Macaca mulatta: one gene and its partner. Each later gene encodes a partner of the first gene's protein in a complex. Links are inferred from orthologs where the notes say so. Each region holds a gene or a part of one and is shown on either strand. Other genes may lie near its edges.

Region 1 (10,468 bases):
AGAAATAGTTCTAAGGACCAAGAATATCCGATATTAGGGCAGCCATAGCACTTATAATGACAGATAAAATGAACATAATTGGTTTGATAAAAATTATTCCTTACCTCATATGTTGCAAGTCGATCTAAGTAGGTTAATAATTTCCGTCTACAACGGCAAAGTTCCTTTTGTTCCAGTGTCAACCTGTTTTGAATAACTATATTAGGCCACTTATATTTACACAGAATTATTTCTCTAGGAGTTACAATGAAAATTATTAATACTCCATTGAGCCCAAAACTCATGAAACAGTTCAGAAAAGCACAAGGGTAAGATAATAGTAAGTACATTTGATTTAAGTTGCTGAAATAATTTGGACTAATTACTACACTAGTAAGGAACACACTGAAATGACTATTTTAAAGAAAGTATCAAATGAACAGTAACAAATCATTTACTTGGAAAATTTCACTAATTTCAGTAGTTCCTGTCTCTTCTTGAGCTCCTTCTCCTTTTTATTCTTGGCAGGCTCTTCATCAGGTGGTGAAAGTTCTTCATAGGAGATATTGTCAATGTCTACTTCACCAGGTAATGTAAATCTGCAAGTATAAAAGAACAAATATATTTTCATCATTTTTAAAAACTTCATGCTGTGAAAAGCTTTCTCCTATTTTGACTGATTTAATTATTGATTTGCACAAAAACAGAAGGAAGTATTTGAAAAAAACTTTTGCCATTGTAAACAAAGTGATCATTCATTATATCCATAGATGGGCAAAAAGTCATCAGTAATTATCACAAATAGAAATCTAAAAATCAAGAAAATGAAAACTATTTAGGAAGAGATGTGGGGTTACATTCATTCAATGTAAAGCAGCCTATGCAGAAAATGTCCAGAGTTTGCTATGTGAATCACTTCTTCTTAAGGTCTTCAAATGGTAATCATGTCAGTCTCATTTTAATTATTTACTTCTCAGATATATTCTCATATTTATATTTTTTAAAAAGTTCCAAATGCCTGATGAGCAATGACTTCAGATAAGAAAGTATTGATCAAAAGCAACTGCTTCAGTAGAGAATAACTTAAAGAAAAGTTTACCCAGTCCAATGTCTCAGTACAAAAGTTCTCACAAAGTCACTTTTACTTTGAATCCAATTCCTTCTATAACCAACCTGCCTTCATCTGCTCCTTTCCCTATTGCTAAAAGAGCCTCCAGGTCTGTGCCTTTTAATCCATACTGAAGCAGTTCTTTGGCAGCATCCACATTTTCAGGAACTCTTTCCAAACACTCATGGAGAACCCAGGATCGCTTCTTTATTTTACTCTGGATATAGAAGAAGAAACAGAGGAATTAAAGAATCCATGACATCTCACAACACATTACAACTGCCTTCAGAATTGTAAAGCTATATCTAATTACAGCTATTTAGGACCTTGGCCACAGGGAGCTGCTAGAGGAACTCAAAAGAAAAGCAGCCAATTCCCTAATGGTGATTACAACTGGATGCAGGGAGTGTGAGTTTACCTGCTTGCTTTCTTCCTCTAATGAGCTACACAGAGACAGAAAGCTCAGGACTCATTTTTGGTAATATAAGACATTTTCTCCTAACTTGTATAATCGCCTTTGGCTTGCACTGTGGCTGTATAATAGAGCAGACAATAAGGCAGAAAGAGAAGATATATTCTGCCATAATTAATAAGCATGTTTAACTTTTAACAAATGAGCCCATCAAAGTTCTGTATTTATTTGACCATGAGATATATCCCAGGGTGTAAATAACTTAATCATAAAAAGTCATGATATGCTGTTTTTTGGAAAGATCAAGGTCCTATTCCTCCCTCCCAACTGCTTTCTCCAACTCCATTCAAAATCCCTGACTTGCCCTCCTCCTACAAAGAGCTATTATGGTAACAAATTTCAATTAATATTTGACTCATTCCCTAGGATCCTTTATATATTGCCTCACATCAGTTCTTTCTTCAAATGTCTCTTATTAATTCACTTTCCCTTTTCCACAGCTGCAGCCTCCATACCAGTCTAAATCATCAACACAAAATATCCAGGACACTGCAGGAGTCCCCTGCTCTGAGCAAGCTTTCCTACCTTCCTTCCACTCCAATCCTCTCTACACCATCTTCCTCTGTGCTTCCACAGTCAGAAATCCACAACAGTAGATAAATGCCTAAGTCATCACAACCTTTCCACATCCTCCTGAACCCAAATCAATATATCTTTTTAATCATATTTCCCAATGTTCACTATTGTCAAATATCAGTGCCAGCAAACTGGTTGATGTACAGAGCTCATCTATCCACAAAATGTTTACTGGGCACCTACTGCATACCAGGCATTGAAGTAGACATGGAAAGACAGCAGTGAATAAAACAGATTTAGTCATGGGCCTCATAAATCATGCTCAACGTCTTTTCATTCGTTCATACCATCTGTCCTGTTAAGAATGTCTTCCTTCCTTCTCACTCAAGAAGGTCTACTTTAAATCCTTCCAAATCCCTGCTCCAAACATCTTCACTATATAAAGCCTTCCATCACTACCAGATCTATAATAATAATCACTACCTTCACTGGGTTTCTAGAGTTTTATCTGAAATCTGTTTATATGGTCAGTTACATTCAATATGGTGAACCCCTATCTCTACTAAAAATACAAAAATTAGCCAGGTGTGGTGTCATGTGCCTGTAGTCCCAAGCTACTCGGGAGGCTGAAGCAGGAGAATCACTTGAACCAGGGAGGCAGAAGTTGCAGTGAGCCGAGATAGCACCATTGCACTCCAGCCTGGGCAAAAAGAGTGAAACTCCATCTCAAAAAAAAAAAAAAAAAAAAAAAAAATCATAAGCTCCCAATGAGTAAAAGTCACATTTATGCCTGTCCTGTACCCCTTTGCAGTCCCCAGCATAGTGCTCTTGCTCTTAACTGGCTATTTATTTAACTAAACAAAATATTCCCCTCCCCAGAAAAGTACTTGTTTTGTCTCTCCTAACATCCCTCAACTCCTTCAGAGATAAAAACTGTCCTTTACTGTATCCCAGAAAAAGATATACATGAACTCATGAGCTCATTGTCTTAGATTACAAAACAACAAAGAAAAATAATACAGAATTAGTGTTTTGATTTTCTAAAGAAAATACAAGTAACTTTGTCTTCTTCCGTTTCATTACCTCTCATGCTCTTTCACCTCTGATATCTTGCTTGTATTAATGTTAAGTTTATCATCCTGTTTGGCTGATGCATCATCTTCTTCCATACAACTTTTTCATGTTATATTTTTACTTTTAATTACTAATGTACAAAACTTTTAGGGAAGTAATCATCATGAAATTTTCCCAGTGTTTCCCACAATCTTCCACAGTGCAAAGGTATTTTCCTTTCTACATGTTAAGATCAGAAGTCCCAACCTTTTTTAAAGTATGTCATGAGTCTAACTATAAGTCTTTCTTACAAAGATGCCAAAGGTTAAAACATACAGGCTTGCTATGAAATCAATGTGTCCCCCAAAATTCACATGTTGAAAAACTAATTCCCAGAGTGATGATGTTTGGAAATGAGACCTTCAGAAAGCAATCAGGTCATGAGAGTGGAGGCCCCATGACAGGATTGGCGTCCTCACAAGAGGAGGCAGGAGACAGCTTGCTGCCTCTCTCTCTGCTCTCTGCCATATAAGGACACAGCAAGAAAGAAATCCATCTGCAACCCAGGAGAGTGCTCTCACCAGGAATGAAATTGGTCAACACCTTGATTTTGCAATTCCCAGCCTCTAGAACTGTGAGAAATAAATTTCTGCTGTTGAAACCACATAGTCTGATATTTTTGTTGCAGCGGCTAAAACTAATTGAGACAAGACTGTATATTAATCTTAACTATGGGAGGCAGGTAACAGGAAGTATCCAATTTTGAGACTTAAGTTTTAAACAGGCGTATTTGGCAGTTTTCATATATGTTACCTATTTATTGCCTCTCAGCTCCAAATTTCCCCTCAAAGCCAGCTCTGTGATAGCGTATGTCATTTGCAGTTGACACAATATTAAGCTCTGGGTGCTGGAGGGCCACTGCAAAAGAAGAGGCTCTGCTTTCTAGTCGTGATGTGCTTTGGTTCTTTTCTTCTTGCTCCTATGGCTTGGCCACCAACAAGGCATGTGTGGGACATCAAGTGGCACTTACTTCCCCACTTCCTCCCTCTGTTGACACCCTCCCACTGAGTTTCACTGGCACTCTCGTGGGCAGACTGTTTTCTAGTGAATCTCCCACGCACCAAAGAGAGAAGCTTCCCAGACTGGAAGCTACAAAAAGGCCGCCTATAGGAGTAGACAGTTTTTTCTTGCCAGTCTTGGCCATGATTCCTTAATTATCTACCAGCCTTGAGCCACATGCATGCTGGTAGGGGTTTCCTGCTGGATAGTCCCTGGGGTCTTCTGGCCCCCATCCTCAGCTCACTGGCCCCCAGAAGCAGGCGTCCAGCTTTCCTATCCATCCCATATCTCCCCGACTGCCAACCTTGGCAACTGTGGACCAGCCCTGGCTCAAGGCAACCCAGAGAACTTCTCTTCCATCCTACATGCTGCAACCACTCCTGGTCCAACGGGTCTGAATCCCAGCCTAGGGGAAGGGCCTCCCTTCCAAGTTCATTCCCTCCATGGATACGTCCCTTCAGCCCTAGGGTATTCCTTAGCGTTCTCTATCGTTCATTTCTGGTTACTAGAAAATAATTCTCCACATTGTAAATTTCCCGGTTTAAATTACTGTGTGGTTTCTGGCACCTGACTAGCTCTTGACTAATGCAGGTAAAGTGAAGTGATTGTGGTACAGGAAAGAAAACATTAGGCCGAAACCAAGTAGTCAGCTGGTTTATCAGTGAATATTTGTTCACATGTATTCAGCATCAAAGTCCAGTTGCAGGGGCAATAAAATCTAACAAAAAGACCATTTTTCCAGATGAGAAAACTGTACTTCATTGACTGTATTATAGAAAAGTCAGCAATGTAAAGTTCTCTAAAATGAAGCCCTATAAACAAAAGACACTATATGAATATACATTTTACATTACCAAAATATTTACACATACCAAATAATTCTGAATTGAAGCAACATTGACCACTGACTTCCTCCACTGCCTCTGATATACGAGGTCAGTATCCAGGCCATAGGTATGAGCCAAGGACAAGGCTTCCTCATACTCTTCACTTTCAATCTTCAGATAAAAACACAAAGACAGGAATGTTACATGACTGAATTATCTACAGGGTCCTGATGATGATACAATGAATGATGATAATCCCTTGGACCTATCCAGCATGTCATTAATTCCTGTGCACTGTGGCACCAGAAGCTCACAGACATATTGAGGAGCAGAAGGATCTCGTGTTTCTTTCAGGACTTTAACAGAAAGATGAAAGATAAAAGGTGCAAAACTCTCATTTTAGAGTAAAACAATGGCAAAACCAAGACAACCATGGAACAACCCAACTTCTAGTCCAGAGCTCCTACCATGACATTGCAAGAACAGCACAAATCATGTAAACACACAGTGCTGGTCACCTTGGCTTCCCAAGCAAGTCCTGGACTAGCATTTCTTCCTTCACCCTCTGTAGATAGCTGATTTAAACACAGATAAAGGGAGAGCTGAAGGCCACATGAAGGGTAGCAAAGAAATGAGTTAAGCCACCAAGTGGATAATCAGTCTAAGTGAATTCAACTTTATCCATGGTTTTGATTTTGATTATTTAGGTACAAAGATTAGCATTATTTTAAAAAGCTTTAGAGAACTGCTATTTTTAACATGTCAATGATCCAACATCCCTCTTGAAATTTTCTCCTTTATTAAAAAATTAACTTTTTCCCAATAAAAGAAAAGCTTGATGACTTCAAACTTGGGTAGTAGTACGCTACTGTCTCACCTTCCTCTGATAAAGTTCCTCCGGTGTTGTGGAGCGCAAACTCACAAGGCGGTAGTTTTTAGTAATGGTTCGTGGGCGTTTCCGTGCTGGTGCAAATCGCTCCATTTCAGTCACCAAGTAAAGGCCCTGTTTTATATAACCAAAGTAGCGAGCCTTGGCAGATATTTCATGATCAGAATCAGAATCCTCTTCTCCTTCATCTTCTTCTCCAGCCCTAGTCTCCAAACGAGATCGTTTGGAGGCAAGTTTAATCTCACACTAAATTGAAAAAGGAGATTTGAAATTAATAGTTAGGAACTAAGAATAACTTTTTAGAATTAATGAAAAAAAAATTTCTAAATCTAATCTGGTTTGATTCATTAAATCAGTTATGTGATCAAGATTAACAATGGAACTCAAAGGAACTTTACAGCAAGCATTATATACATCAGCTCCAGAAATATGCACATACATGATCAGCTCCAAATCTTCTAAACTAAAGCCTGTTTTTTTGTTTTGTTTTGTTTTGTTTGAGATGGAGCCTTGTTTTGTCACCCAGGCTGGAATGCAGTGGCGCGATCTCAGCCAACCGCAACCTCCACCTCCTAGGTTCAAACGATTCTCCTGCCTCAGCCTCCTGAGTAGCTGGGACTACAGACACCCACCACCACGCCCAGCCAATTTTTGTATATTTACTAGAGATGGGGTTTCACCATGTTGGCCAGGCTGGTCACGAATTCCTGACCTTAAGTGATCCACCCGCCTTGGCCTCCCAAAGTGGTAGGATTAGAGGTGTGAGCCACTGTGCCCAGTCTAAAGCCTGTTTTAATAACAGGTCATTAATATGCTCTTGTACTTATAATTATCAGGTCTTGTACCTGATAATTTGATGATCTGTTTTCATCTCTTCAGAGAATGAACATAAAGGTACTTAAATTTGCTTTACCAAGAACAGCTCTCCCTCACCCCTTTATAAAAATGTCTAACAGCTTCGCTAAGTTCTGAGTCTGAAAGCCTGGCTGTTCAAGATAACTTTCATTCAGACTTAACAGAGCTGGCTTAGATTTTAAGTCATAGTTTTCTTTAAGGAACATCTTTAGACTCCATAACAAACTTCAGAGTAAAAAACATGTCAATCTGCATTGCTGAAGTGAAAGCTATGAAAGGTTGTTACCCTTGAAAGACTTAAAATACAATTTTTAAATGACCAAAAGATAACTTTAAAGAACTAGCCTCTATTTTCAAGTCTTTTGTCATGATAAACAAGTTTCCTTACTAAAAGAATCAAAAACTTTAGTTGCCATGCTTTTTAGAAATAGGTTAAAGAGTATTTTTCTTAGGTAGTGATACCATTCTACATTTTAAAATGACTAATCCAGGGGAGAAAAAAATCTACCATTTCAGTGAAAAAGAAATACTTTATACAAAGCAAAATGACAACAAATTTTCTTCATTATCTTAAATTACAATTTTTTATTCACTAAAAAACGAATTTTTTATACTGCAACCATTACCTGATTCCAGTCACAGATTTTTGTTTTTAAAGACAAGATAATAAGACAACTCAAATAAAAACCAGATATTTAAATTTTTGGTTAAATATATAACTATTCTCAAACAAAGGGGAAAAAGCCTTACCTCCAAACTTAAAAATCCCCCATCATGGGTAGCAGTGACTTGAGGTGATGGTTCAAACCACTCACAGGATTTTCCCAGTAAATTCTTCAAAGTTTTCACCGACGAAACAGTTAAGGCACCGGAGCATCGAGCTAAAGTCACTGCACTGTCTGCCCACCAATTGACATCTATCAGTGGGTAAAAGGACTCTTTATCTAAGAAGGGAAAAACAAATCAATACAAATGCATCTGCTAATGTGGTTTAAATTCAAAATATTTAGTATAAGAATCAATTTTAAAACCAAATTTACCTATGTTATTTGGCCCCTTAATGGTATATTAAATAATGAGAAAAAAATAAGAAAAATTAAAATGTAAGTCATCCTCAAAAGTTTATGAGGTATAAAATGGTAATTCACTTGACAAATTGGGTGCCAACAATGTCAGTCTAGGTCTAAAGCTCTAAGGATACAAAGGCAGTCTAAAGCTCTAAGGATACAAAGGCAAATAAACTAGGGTCTTTCATCTCAAGAATATACTCAGGAGAGAGATGTGTCACCACTTTCAACCTAAGTTGAAAGGCAGGTGTGTACCAGGTATGCATACATGAAGGTAATATAATGTTTTGAAAAATGTACATATACCACTTTCAGACAAACACTGAGAGAAATATACCCTTTAGAAAAATATAAGACAGATATGTAATAGTTTCCAGTGCTGATTTCCTCTTAAACTTATAACTAATCAGAGAGGGAAAAAAAAATCTATGGCTAGCAAAGAATCTTTAGAAATGAAAATGAATTATGGGCTGGACGCAGTGGTTCATGCCTGTAATTCCAGCACTTTGGGAGGCTGAGGTGGGCAGATCACAAGGTCAGGAGTTTAAGACAAGCCTGGCCAATACGGTGAAACCCCATCTGTATTAAAAATACAAAAATTAGCCAGGAATGGTGGCGCATGCTTGTAGTTCCAACTACTGGGGAGGCTGAGACGGGAGAATCACTTGAACCCAGGAGGTGGAGGTTGCAGTGAGCCGAGATGGTGCCACTGCACTCCAGCCTGGGTGACAGAGCGAGACTCTGTCAAAAAAAAAAGAAAAAGAAAAAGAAAAAGAAAAGGAATTATTGTTCACCAAACTAAGGCATTCAAAAGGCAATGCCATATTTATTATAATTTTATTGTACATTTTTGAACATCATCTGTTATACAAAACATATGATATGGTTTAAAGGTAAAAGTAAACCATAAATTTAACAACATATTTAAACATTACACTAGAAGAGATTTTAAATATGGAATTCAGAACCATGAGACTCACTATTTTAAGGAAAATAAAGAGCTCTAACAACACTTTTTTCCCAAGTAAGCCTAAGGCAATCCATGTAAATAAGGAGTTTCAAGAAAATGTGAAAGGCAGAGTTCCTGGGGCTTATCACTAAGTGTGAAGTAGAAAGAAAGAGGAGCAAATCACTAAAATAAAATTCTAATTTCTGCTTTGACAAAGTATTACTTTTCCTCAAAAATATGTCTGGATGAATATTTTGGATGATTATTTAACTAAAGCAGATAATTCAAAGCATGGAACCTGATGCATAATATTAATCAATATTTTTAATCTTCTTTAAATGTGAACTAAAAGCATTTTTTTTTTTTTTTGAGATGAACTTTTGCTCTGTCACCCAGGCTGGAGTGCAGTGGCGTGATCTCAGCTCACTGCAACCTCCGCTTCCCAGGTTAAAGCGATTATCCTGCCTCAGCCTCCCGAGTATCTGATTACAGGTGTGCACCACCATGCCTGGCTAATTTTTGTATTTCCAGTAGAGACAGGGTTTCACCATGTTGGCCCGACTGGTCTTGAACTCTTGAACTTGGGTGATCCACCTGCTTTGGCCTCCCAAAATGCAGGCATGAGCCACCGTGCCAGCCTAAAAATATATCGTAATACAGACCTTGAACCTTGTAACTATCACTGATTTTACAGAAGACACTTAAAAATTCATCACGGATTTAACTTAGAAAGTTTCACCTAAAGAGAAATAACACATAGTCAAGAACTAAAAGTAAAAAAAAAACTCAAAAGTAACCCCTACAGGATTTTAAAATATCTCTGCTTTAATCTAGCAATTAAATGACAATTATTACTCTTATTTAAATGTAAATCTTGATTTTTATTTATAAAAACAATATATGCTCACTGTAAAAATGAAATTTTTTCTTTAAAACATGGAAATGTATGCAAAGACAAAGAAAGCCTCACCAACCTAACCCTAATTACCCCCAACCGGCAGAGGTAAGTTTACTCAGTGTTTCTTCTTTGATGAATCTTGCTCTGTGATCTCACCCAGGAGCATCTGAAAAGGAGCAGGCTTCTAAGCGTTGAACTCAGTGTACCATCTCAATGCTGGCTCCTGGCAGGAGAGCCATGCTGCATACCCTGGGCTCTGACCTCGCTTTTGGGAAAGCCTGACCATCAGAAAACTGGATCTGTTGCCTTGACCAAATCTATGAAATCTTGATGTTTCTTCCAAAGTGTAGCAAAAGTATCTGGAGATTTTTTATATCATCCAAAGAGCATCTTGTATAATAATAGAAGTCTCTTAAGGTTTCAATTATCATATTTCATACAACTCACCTTTGACTTTTTTTCTCTTCTCAGTAGAGAGCCTCCAATCAGGATTAAGGTCATCATAGCCTGGCTAAATATGAAAATAATGACTTCCTGAGTCAACTATGTAAGAAAATTATATGAAAATCATCAAGAACTGTGGACTTTTTCAAATAAAGAGATGATGCTTTCCCTTGATCTCTCAATTACAACTAGCTGAAATCTATTTCTTGCCATGATAGTCTGGAAAAGCGATTGTTCTTACACTTAAAATGTGCACATGTACATATTATGACTCAATTTATGAAGAATATAGCATACGCATATGAACAATAGGATACCAAGTATACCACCAATACATATGAAAGCAAAATAC
Region 2 (10,468 bases), on another chromosome or scaffold:
TTTATTTTAGTTTTTGAGACAGAGTCTCGCTCTGTCACCCAGGCTGGAGTTCAGTGGCATGATCTCAGTTCACTGCAACCTCCACCTCCCGGGTTCAAGTGATTCTCCTGCCTCAGCCTCCTAAGTAGCAGGAATTATAGGCGTGTGCCATCACGCTCGGCTAATTTTTGTATTTTTAGCAGAGACAGGGTTTCACCATGTTGGTCAGGCTGGTCTCAAACTCCTGACCTCGTGATCTGCCCACCCCAGCCTCCCAAAGTGCTGAGATTACAGGCGTGAGCCACCGCGCCCAGCTGAGAAAATTTATTAATACATGCTCTACCTACTAAATATTTTCCTTCAAAGCAAACCAAGGGCTGGGCATGGTGGCTCACGCCTGTAATCCCAGCACTTTGGGAGGCCGAGACGGGCGGATCATTTGAGGTCAGGAGTTTGAGACCAGCCTGGCCAAGATGGTGAAACCCCATCTCTACTAAAAATACAAAAACTAGCCAGGCGTGGTGACACACACCTGTAACCTCAGCTACTAGAGAGGCTAAGGCAGGAGAATCACTTGAACCGGGAGGAGGTGGTTGCAGTGAGCCGAGACTGCACCACCACACTCCATCCAGCCTGGGTGTCTGTCACTCTGAGCGAGACTCCTCAAAGAAAAAACAAAAACAAAAACACTGCAGACCAGGCACGGAGGCTTACGCCTGTAATCCCGGCACTTTGGGAGGCCAAGGTGGGTGGATCACAAGGTCAGGATTTCAAGACCAGCCTGGCCAAGATGGGGAAATCTTGTCTCTACTAAAAAATAAAAATAAAAAAATTAGCTGAGCATGGTGGCACACGACTGTAATCCCAGCTATTTGGGAGGCTGAGGCAGAGAATTTCTTAAACCCAGGAGGCAGAGGTTGCAGTGGGCTGAGATTGCATCACTGCCCTCCAGCCTGAGTGACAGAGCGAGACTCCATCTCAAAAAAAAATGGAAACAAAGATCTCATTCTAACAGGCTGGGCATCTATATTTTGCCAACACCCCCAGGTGATTCTGAATTAAGGCCAGGCTAAGAACCACTGACTTGATGAGACGATATCCAGGCAATGCCTTTAGAAATGGCATTTACTGGCCAGGTGCGGTGGCTCATGCCTGTAATCCCAGCACTTTGGGAGGCCGAGGCGGGCAAGTCACTGGAGGTCAGAAGTTCGAGACCAGCCGGGCCAACATGGTGAAACCCTGTCTCTACTGAAAATACAAAAATTCGGCCAGGCACAGTGTTTCATGCCTGTAATCCTAGCACTTTGGGAAGCAAAAGCTGGTGGATTACTTGAGGTAAGTAGTTTGAGACCAGCCTTACTAAAATGGTGAAACCCTGTCTCTACTAAAAATAAAAAAACTAGCCGGGTGTGGTAGCACACGCCTGTAATCCCAGCTACTCAGGAGGCTAAGGCAGGAGAATTGGTAAACCCAGGAGGCGGAGGTTGGTGAGCTGAGATCCCGCCACTGCACTCCAGCCTGGGTGACACAGTGAGACTGTCTCAAAAAATAAAATAAAGTAAAATAAATACAAATACAAAAATGAGCTGAGTATGGTTGCGCATGCCTGTCATCCCAGCTATTTGGGAGGCTGAGGCAGAAGAATCACTTGAACCCAGAAGGCGGAGGTTGCAGTGAGCTGAGATCACACCACCACACTCCAGCCTGGGCAACAGAGCAAGACTCCATCTCAAAAAAAAAAAAGAAGACAGAAAATGGCATTTACTAAATGAATTTTTCTTATAGTATATGGGAAAACATATACAAATACTAGTCATCAGCAAATACAAAGAACATCATAGAATAATTTCAATCAACAGTGATTAGATACTTATTCTGTACCAGGCACTGTGCTAGAAATATTCAGACAAACAAGACACAGCATCCGTCCTTAAGATCCCTTTGGTATACAAGAGAGTTGTAAGCAAGTAATTTCAACAGTGGGATTAATGCAATAAAATGGACAGGCTACATTTAATGAATGTGCACATTAATCACCTAGAGATCTTCTTATAATACAGATTCAGACACAGTAAGTCTGAAGTAAGACTGAGATTCTGCATTTCTACAAAGCTCCCAACCTGCCTAAACTAAGATGGTATCAGCAAGAGTGGGAAAGATGGGGTTGGGCGCAGTGGCTCACGCCTGTAATCCCAGCACTTTGGAAGGCCAAGATCCACTTTCAGGCGGATCACCTGAGGTCGGGAGTTCGAGACCAGCCTTCCCAACATAGAGAAACCCCACCTCTACTAAAAATACAAAATTAGCCAGGCGTGGTGGCACATGCCTATAATCCCAGTTACTTGGGAGCCTGAAGCAGGAGAATCGCTTGAACCCGGGAGGTGGAGGTTGCAGTGAGCCGAGATCGTGCCATTGCACTCCAGCCTGGGCAGCAGGAACTCCTACTCAAAAAAAAAAAAAAAAAAAAAAAAGAAGAGTGGGAAAGATGGGATGGACACCAGAGATGTTGAGGCAGAACTCAGATGACTTGGTGACAGATAGAGAATGATAAGAAGGAATCTAGGACTCCTAGGCTTCAGGTCTGGGTGACAGGCAGATAGTGTGCCATTATCTAACCAAGACAGACATGTCTCTAAAAAATGGATCAGTACAGTTTTGGACATGCTGAATTTAAGGTTCAATAAGGAACTTCAGTAAAAGTTTCTGTGGTCATTACGGAAACAAGCCTGACTACAGTGGGTCAAATATGAATGGCAAATTAAAAAGTAGACATAGATAACAAAGGTTACCTTCTGAAGCCTGACAATCAAAGGAAAGAACTAATACCTGCTAAAAGATCACAGGTTTTTTCGTTTGTTTGTTAAGGTTTTATAGAAAAGACCTGTCCATATGCACACGCTGAAGGGATAGGACTGGTTGATGAACACAGGGTAAAATTATAAGAGTGACACAAGTTCACTGAGGTGGCAGATAGAACCTGGGGTATAAGGTCTGCCTTAGAATGATCCTCTGCTGAATGAGGTTAAAAATGACTACATGTAAATTTGGGGATTGTGGGATAGACTATTCAACAGACTGAATTCAATGCCACTAAATTCATGCTAGGCCTCTATTTTTTTCTGCTTGGGAAAAGGAAAGGGCAAAAAGGACAGGTTGGGTAGATGTCTCAAAGAGAATCTGAAAGAACAGCTGAGGGGAGTAGCAGAGGAGCTGACCTTCCCATGGAAGGATTGCTGGTGGGGCTGAATACTCAGCCAGGGTGGCAGACCACACACATAGGTTGGCACCAACCTACTCGGTTGTATGACTTCCTCCAACTGGGTCCACACAACCTGCCTGCAGGAGTGAAAAGGCAGACAAAGCTAGGCTAAACTTGAAGACTAGCAGTAGTTGTGGTGGGAAGACAGGAAGCTGTGGAGGCCTAAGGTAATAGGGACGGGAGAACATAAGATGATCAAAAAGCTGGAAATAACCCACACAGAATTTTCTTAACCTAATTTAGTAGCTATATGATAAAAATTTTTTTTTTTTTGAGACGGAGTCTCGCTCTGTCACCCAGGCTGGAGTGCAGTGGCGCAATCTCAGCTCACTGCAACCTCCGCCTCCTGGGTTCACGCCATTCTCCTGCCTCAGCCTCCCACGTAGCTGGGACTACAGGGGCCCGCCACTGCACCCAGCTAATTTTTTTGTGTTTTTAGTAGAGACGGGGTTTCACCGTGTTAGCCAGGATGGTCTCGATCTCGACCTCGTGATCCGTCCGTCTCGGCCTCCCAAAGTGCTGGGATTACAGGCGTGAGCCACTGTGTCCAGCCCAATAAAAATGTTTTATGTTGGCCGGGTTTTAAAAAATTATTTTAAGTGGTATGTTCATTGTAAAAGAAAAAAAACCTATAAATACATAGAAATATATATTTTTGAGACGCAGTGTCGCTTTTATTGCCTAGGCTGGAGTGAGATGGCGCGATCTCAGCTCACGGCAACCTCCGCCTCCTGGGTTCAAGCAATTCTCCTGCCTCAGCCTCCCGAGTAGCTGGGATTACAGGTGCCTGCCACCGCACCTGGCTAATTTTTTTTGTTGTACTTTCAGCAGAGACGGGGTTTCACCATGTGGGTCGGGCTGGTCTCAAACTCCTGACCTCAGGTGATCCACCCGTCTCAGCCTCCCAAAGTGCTGGGATTACAGGTGTGAGCTACTGTGCCAGGCCTAGAAATATTTTTTAAATACACCACTTGTCAACCAACCACCCAGAAATAACCATTATGTTATACTTCTTTTCACTTTATACTTCTCCCTATGTGTGTATTTATTAAAATTTGAAATGTGGTCAGGTACAGTGGCTCACATTTGTAATCCCAGAACTAAGGGAGGCCAAGGCAGGTGGATCATCTGAGGTCACGAGTTCAAGACCAGCCTTGCCAACATGTTGAAACCCCATCTCTACCTAAAATACAAAATTAGGCAGGCAGAGTGACACATGCCTGTAATCCCAGCCACATGGGAAGCTAAGGCAGGAGAACTGCTTGAACCCAGGAGGCGGAGGTTGCAGTGAGCCAAGATGGCACCATTGCACTCCAGCCTGGGCAACAAAACTCCATCTCAAAAAAAAAAAAAATTGAAATGATGGTGTTTACACCATGGTATATATTTTTTTACATGCCATGAAATTATTTGCTTGTAAAAGCAATTTAAAAGTCACTGTATGAAGCTGGGTGCGGTGGCTCAAGCCTGTAATCCCAGCACTTTGGGAGGCCGAGACGGGTGGATCACGAGGTCAGGAGATCGAGACCATCCTGGCTAACATGGTGAAACCCCGTCTCTACTAAAAAATACAAAAAAACTAGCTGGGCGAGGTGGCGGGCGCCTGTGGTCCCAGCTACTCCAGAGGCTGAGGCAGGAGAATGGCGTAAACCCGGGAAGCGGAGCTTGCAGTGAGCTGAGATCCGGCCACTGCACTCCAGCCTGGGCGACAGAGCAAGACTCTGTCCCAAAAAAAAAAGTCACTGTATGTTCACTAGAAACAGAATGAAAGGGAAAAAAAAGTCACTCTGTGAAAATCTATATAAAATGTTAGGTCTCAATATGTTTTCAAGACAAACTATATCAGTAGGAACTTTGTCTTTTACCTAATTTGTAAAATAGGTAGTATATTGTAGGTTCTTAAGTCCTCTTAAACAGTTTACAATAGACTATTTATCACATTCTGTATCTTTAAAATTCTATATATAATAGACATTATATTGTAAAAAGTATACCATTGATAATTATGTCAGTGAGTTTCAATACTTACCTGTTCTTCTAACTGCATTTTACTTACTGTCCTCTGTTCTATGAGTTTATCAAGTTTCTTTAAAGATTTAAGGTCATTTCCAACTTCCTTTTCTATGAATGCAGACACATAAGAAGGGAGATCACCATTATCTGTACCTTCACTGACTTGTTTACTTCCAATAAGAACTGTAACATTTATGTCACCTAAAACAAAAGAATAACAATTACTCAACGCCACTATGTACTATGGAGTTAAAGAAAATGTAAAACATGTAAAAGCAGTGTATCTACCTTCAAAAGTTAATAATTTTGCCAGGCATGGTGGCTCACACCTGTGATCCCAGCACTTTGGGAGGCTGAGGCAGGTGCATCACCTGAGGCCAGGAGTTCGAGACTAGCCTGGCAAACGTGGCAAAACTCTGTCTCTACTAAAAATACAAAAATTAGCCAGGCATGGGGGCACAGGCCTGTAGTCCCAGCTATTCGGGAGGCTGAGGCACGAGAATCCCTTGAACCCAAGAGGCAGAGGTTGCAGTGAGCCAAGATCATGCCACTGCACTCCAGCCTGAGAGACAGAGACTCTGTATCAAAAAACAAAACCAAAACAAAACAAAGTTAATAATTTAAAGAACAACACATACATACAAATGCCCAGATGAATAGCTCTAAAGCACTCTATCAACCAACTACTGTAAAATGCTTAAGAGCTGAGGGAAGTATTAAAGGAAAAATTCCTAAAGTGCGACCCAGTAATCACAGGTTTCAATAGACAAGGCGTAATACCTTTTTGAAATGTGTAAGGAACCAGTAGTATGGTCTAGAGCAACATCAAAAGGAAGACTCTTGTTTTAAAATGTTTTTTAAAAGGCCAGGCGCAGTGGCTCACACCTGTAATCCCAGCACTGTGGGAAGCCAAGGCAGGAGGATCACTTGAGCCCAGGAGTTCTAGACCAGCCTGGGCAACAAAGCAAGACTTTATCTAACAAAATTAGCCAGGCATGGTGGCACGCACCTGTAGTCTCAGGTGGGCTGAGGTGGGAGGATTGCTTGAGCAGCCAGGGAGATCGAGGCTGCAGTGAGCCATGATTGCACCACTACACTCCAGCCTGGACTGCAGAGTGAGACTTCATCTCTTTAAAAAAAAAAAAAAAAAGTAGGCCGGGCGCGGTGGCTCAAGCCTGTAATCCCAGCACTTTGGGAGGCCGAGGCGGGTGGATTACGAGGTCAGGAGATCGAGACTATCCTGGCTAACATGGTGAAACCCCGTCTCTACTAAAAATACAAAAAACTAGCCGGGCGTGGTGGCGGGCGCCTGTAGTCTCAGCTACTTGGGAGGCTGAGGCGGGAGAATGGCGTGAACCCGGGAGGCGGAGCTTGCAGTGAGCCGAGATCACGCCACTGCACTCCAGCCTGGGAGACACAGCGAGACTCCGTCTCAAAAAAAAAAAAAAAAAAAAAAAAAAAAAAGTAAAAAGGTTTTAGCTGGGCACGGTGGCTCATGCCTGTAATCCCAGCACTTTGGGAGGTTGAGGCAGGCAGATCACGAAGTCAGAAGTTCAAGACCAGCCTGGCCAATATGGTGAAAACCCGTCTCTACTAAAAATACAAAATTAGCTGGGCATGGTGGTGCACACCTGTAGTCCCAGCTACTCGGGAGGCTGGGGCAGAAGAATCGCTTGAACACGGGAGGCGGAGGTTGCAATGAGCCGAGATCACGCCTGGGCGACAAAGTGAGGCTCTGCCTCAAAAAAAAAAAAAAAAAATTGTTTTTAAGCTTCAAAGGTCATTGTACGAAGATATCTTTGTCAGAAACAGAAAAAAGAAAATATGACAGAACAAATTACTAGGAAAAAATCAAAATGAATGACTAATGCAACCACTAAATAGTATGAAGTGAGATTCTTTCCATGGCAAATAAACTACCTGTTTTGTGACATTTAATAAGTCCAGTACATATTGGACTTACTAATATTAATATCTAAATAATGATATGCCTAAGTGCAAAATGTAAATGTAAGATATTGTTCAACTATTTATGTAAAGATTAACAGTATACTGTTTCACGTGTCCATGTGAAGAGACCACCAAACAGGCTTTGTGCGAGCAACATGGCTGTTTATTTCACCTGCGTGCAGGCGGGCTGAGTCCGAAAAGAGAGTCAGAAAAGGGTGGTGGGATTATCATTGGTTCTTATAGGTTTTGGGATAGGTGGTGGAGTTAAGAGCAATGTTTTGGGGGCAGGGGGTGGATCTCACAAAGTCATTCTCAAAGGTGAGGAGAATTACAAAGAAACTCTTAAGGGTGGGGGACATTATAAAGAACACTGATCAGTTAGGGTGGGGCAGAAACAAATCACAATGGTGGAATGTCATCAGTTAAGCTATTTTCACTTCTGTGGATCTTCAGTTGCTTCAGGCCATCTGGTCATAAGGGATATGATGGCTTAGCGTGGGCTCAGAGGCCTGACATATACCAATGTGTTCTATACAGAGTATGTTCCTCTCTCCACCCCTACACCCTAACAAACAAAATTTCCTTTGTTTAACTTATATGAATTGAATTAAAAGATTTTTCACATGCTGTGAGAATCAGGAGGTGGTACTGACCTTTTCCCCCTTTCCTGTCCAGTCCAAGATCCAGAACCCAAGCTATCTGTTGTGCTCTTCCCAGAGCAATTTTAAATTGTCAATTCTAAATTGGGTAGGAGAGGCAATATTAACATAACACTATGCCTCAATTTTCCAACTAGAAAACAAATGGTAACATTTGCCCCAGCCTACATCTCAAGGTTATAAATGGGACTACATAATACAAATTATATAGTTTGTATTAATTATATTAATATAAATATTATTATCTATTAATTATATCATACATTGATATATAATGGTAATGTATAATAATCTACTATTATGTACAGAACTCACAATGCCTTTTTTTAATCTTAAATAAAACAAGTGAGTTATGTGGTTATCTGCAGACAAATGGAGGCAGGAAATATTTGTGAATGCTACAGTTGCTGTACCTTAGGGAGGAAACTCTACCTTCACTTTTTAAAAAAATTACACCCGCCGGGCGCAGTGGCTCATGCCCATAATCCCAGAACTTTGGAAGGCCGAGGAGGGTGGATTACCTGAGGTCAGGAGTTGGAGACCAGCCTAACCAACGTGGTGAAACCCTGCCTCTACTAAAAATACAAAAATTAGCCAGTGTGGAGGCAGGCACCTGTAATCCCAGCTACTAAGGAGGCTGAGGCAGGGGAATTACTGGAACCCAGAGGTGGAGCTTGCAGCGAGCCAAGATCGTGCCGCTGCACTCCAGCCTGGGAGACAGAGTGAGACTAGGTCTCAAAAAAAAAAAAAAAAATTACACCCTTGATGTGTAACCATTCAAATGTGGCACAGTACATTCTTAGCAAAATGACATTCTTCAAAATGACACACCAGTGGTTTGGGAGGTTTTTATGTGTCTCTTTTTCTATTTTTTGTAAAGAGCACTCCTAATCGCAAAGCAGTTTGACTGAGCCGTGGAAAGAGGAACAAGGACAAAGTCCTTGATATGATAGTCTACATCTATTATTTTATTAAAATGACAGCTCAGTAGGCATCCGACTACTTTCCAGGCATCTGAATGAAGCGAAAGTGGAAAGGGAAGGGTTTAACTGAGAGATACAAGGCACTCTCAAATCCTTCAAGAAAAAGGAGCTGAGATGTGGCAGTTACGACAGTCATGTGCTATGGACCGCTTAGAGTCTTCTTTCTGAGGCAGACTCTACTAGCCGCCAATGTTAAGGGCAAATCTTACTCCTAAGGGCCATGTGGTAAGGTGGGCACCATTTTTCTTACTAATACTCATTCCCAACTATTTGCCACAGTCAAAAGAACCAAACATTCCAATAGCAGAGCTATCACATGCTTTTCCCCTTCCTCTCCCAAAAAATGTTACTTCAAAGGTACCTAAAGAGGCCTTGATTGGCAATAACCTGCCATTAAAGTAAAATGGCAAAAGTCCACATCCCTGACATATACTCCTGTACTAGGGAGGAAATGGTGGTACTGACCTTTTCCCCCTTTCCTGTCCAGTCCAAGATCCAGAACCCAAGTTATCCGTTGTGCTCTTCCCGGAGCAATTTTAAACTGCCAATTTACTGAAGGTGAAATTTACTGAAGGTGAACTAAACAATTATCATTTGCCTCCTTTGAACCCAATTAAGGTGGTGGTCATCTGTCCTAGATCATGGGCCCCTCCAAATTCCTGATGCTTAATAAGTTGATGTTTCATTAAAATGACAGGCAGGCCCCAATTATTCTGAGTCCCGTATAATAGGCAGACTTCCAGCGAAAACTCCAGTCCCTGTACTAGGTATGGATCGGGAAGTGCTCTTCTCCCGAGCATCCCGTATTTTACAATTTTAGAAAGACAAAAATATGTGTATCATGGTCATCAGTATTACCATATAAGCATATTGCGCACAAAACGATACTGCATCTAAAAGATAGGCAAAGAACCTTTCTCTGTTGCAGACCCTAGAAGGCTGGGTTTGGGAGGGATAGCTGGGAAGAAAGAGCTTAGGTGTTTGCAGCTGGCTTACTTTTCTCCTCGAGGTTCTTCCTTTCGTCACCACTTTCAGAGCAGCACTAAAAGGAGAACAGGTGTGACAAGCACATTAAGATTAAAGTCGTGGATGGAAAGCATACGGGGCTCCCAGTGGGCACCAACTGGAGGCCAGAGAGGTTCCAGACGCTCTCCCCCCTTCTGAGTGGCCAGGGCCGTCTCAATCAGGTACCCCAAAGTGCCACTTCCCTGGTGCCACCACTGCCACCTTCCCAGGAGGTCTGTGCCACCTTCCCAGGAGGTCTGTGTCACCTCCGCAGGACCTGGAGTTACCCTGCCTGCCCACTAGGGCCACCTCCCTAGAGAAATCTGTCATCTCACCAGGACCGCCAAAGCCACCTCACTGGGACTACCGCCTCCTCTAGGAGGTCTTGCAAGGGCCTCTAATCTAAGCTGCGGGAAGCACCTTCACAAGATTACAGGGTCACCTCACCGGGACTATCTTCCCCGGGAGGTCTGTGCCACCTCAGTAGGCCACCAATGTCCCCTCCCAGGGACGCCAGGGCCGTCTCACCGGGGCTGCAGGAGAGGCGCCGATCTCGCCAGCTGGCAGCATCTCGCCTCCACGCGAGTCCTGGGCTCCATTCGCAGCCAGCGTGGCCTGTG

What was found.
Region 2: NBAS (region 1) and RINT1 share a complex: the UniProt entries of both Homo sapiens proteins name them as parts of the NRZ complex. The link is inferred for Macaca mulatta from reciprocal best matches to the Homo sapiens genes NBAS and RINT1.

The regions. Positions count from the first base shown.
Region 1 is NC_133418.1:109,477,891-109,488,358, reverse strand, and holds part of NBAS (NBAS subunit of NRZ tethering complex), read right to left. Parts: intron 10,184-10,468; coding exon 10,120-10,183; intron 7,703-10,119; coding exon 7,509-7,702; intron 6,150-7,508; coding exon 5,892-6,149; intron 5,186-5,891; coding exon 5,060-5,185; intron 1,305-5,059; coding exon 1,153-1,304; intron 579-1,152; coding exon 438-578; intron 184-437; coding exon 105-183; intron 1-104. UniProt on the Homo sapiens protein: Involved in Golgi-to-endoplasmic reticulum (ER) retrograde transport; the function is proposed to depend on its association in the NRZ complex which is believed to play a role in SNARE assembly at the ER. Required for normal embryonic development.
Region 2 is NC_133408.1:145,130,703-145,141,170, reverse strand, and holds part of RINT1 (RAD50-interacting protein 1), read right to left. Parts: 5' UTR 10,419-10,468; coding exon 10,377-10,418; intron 9,886-10,376; coding exon 9,840-9,885; intron 5,453-9,839; coding exon 5,268-5,452; intron 1-5,267. UniProt on the Homo sapiens protein: Involved in regulation of membrane traffic between the Golgi and the endoplasmic reticulum (ER); the function is proposed to depend on its association in the NRZ complex which is believed to play a role in SNARE assembly at the ER.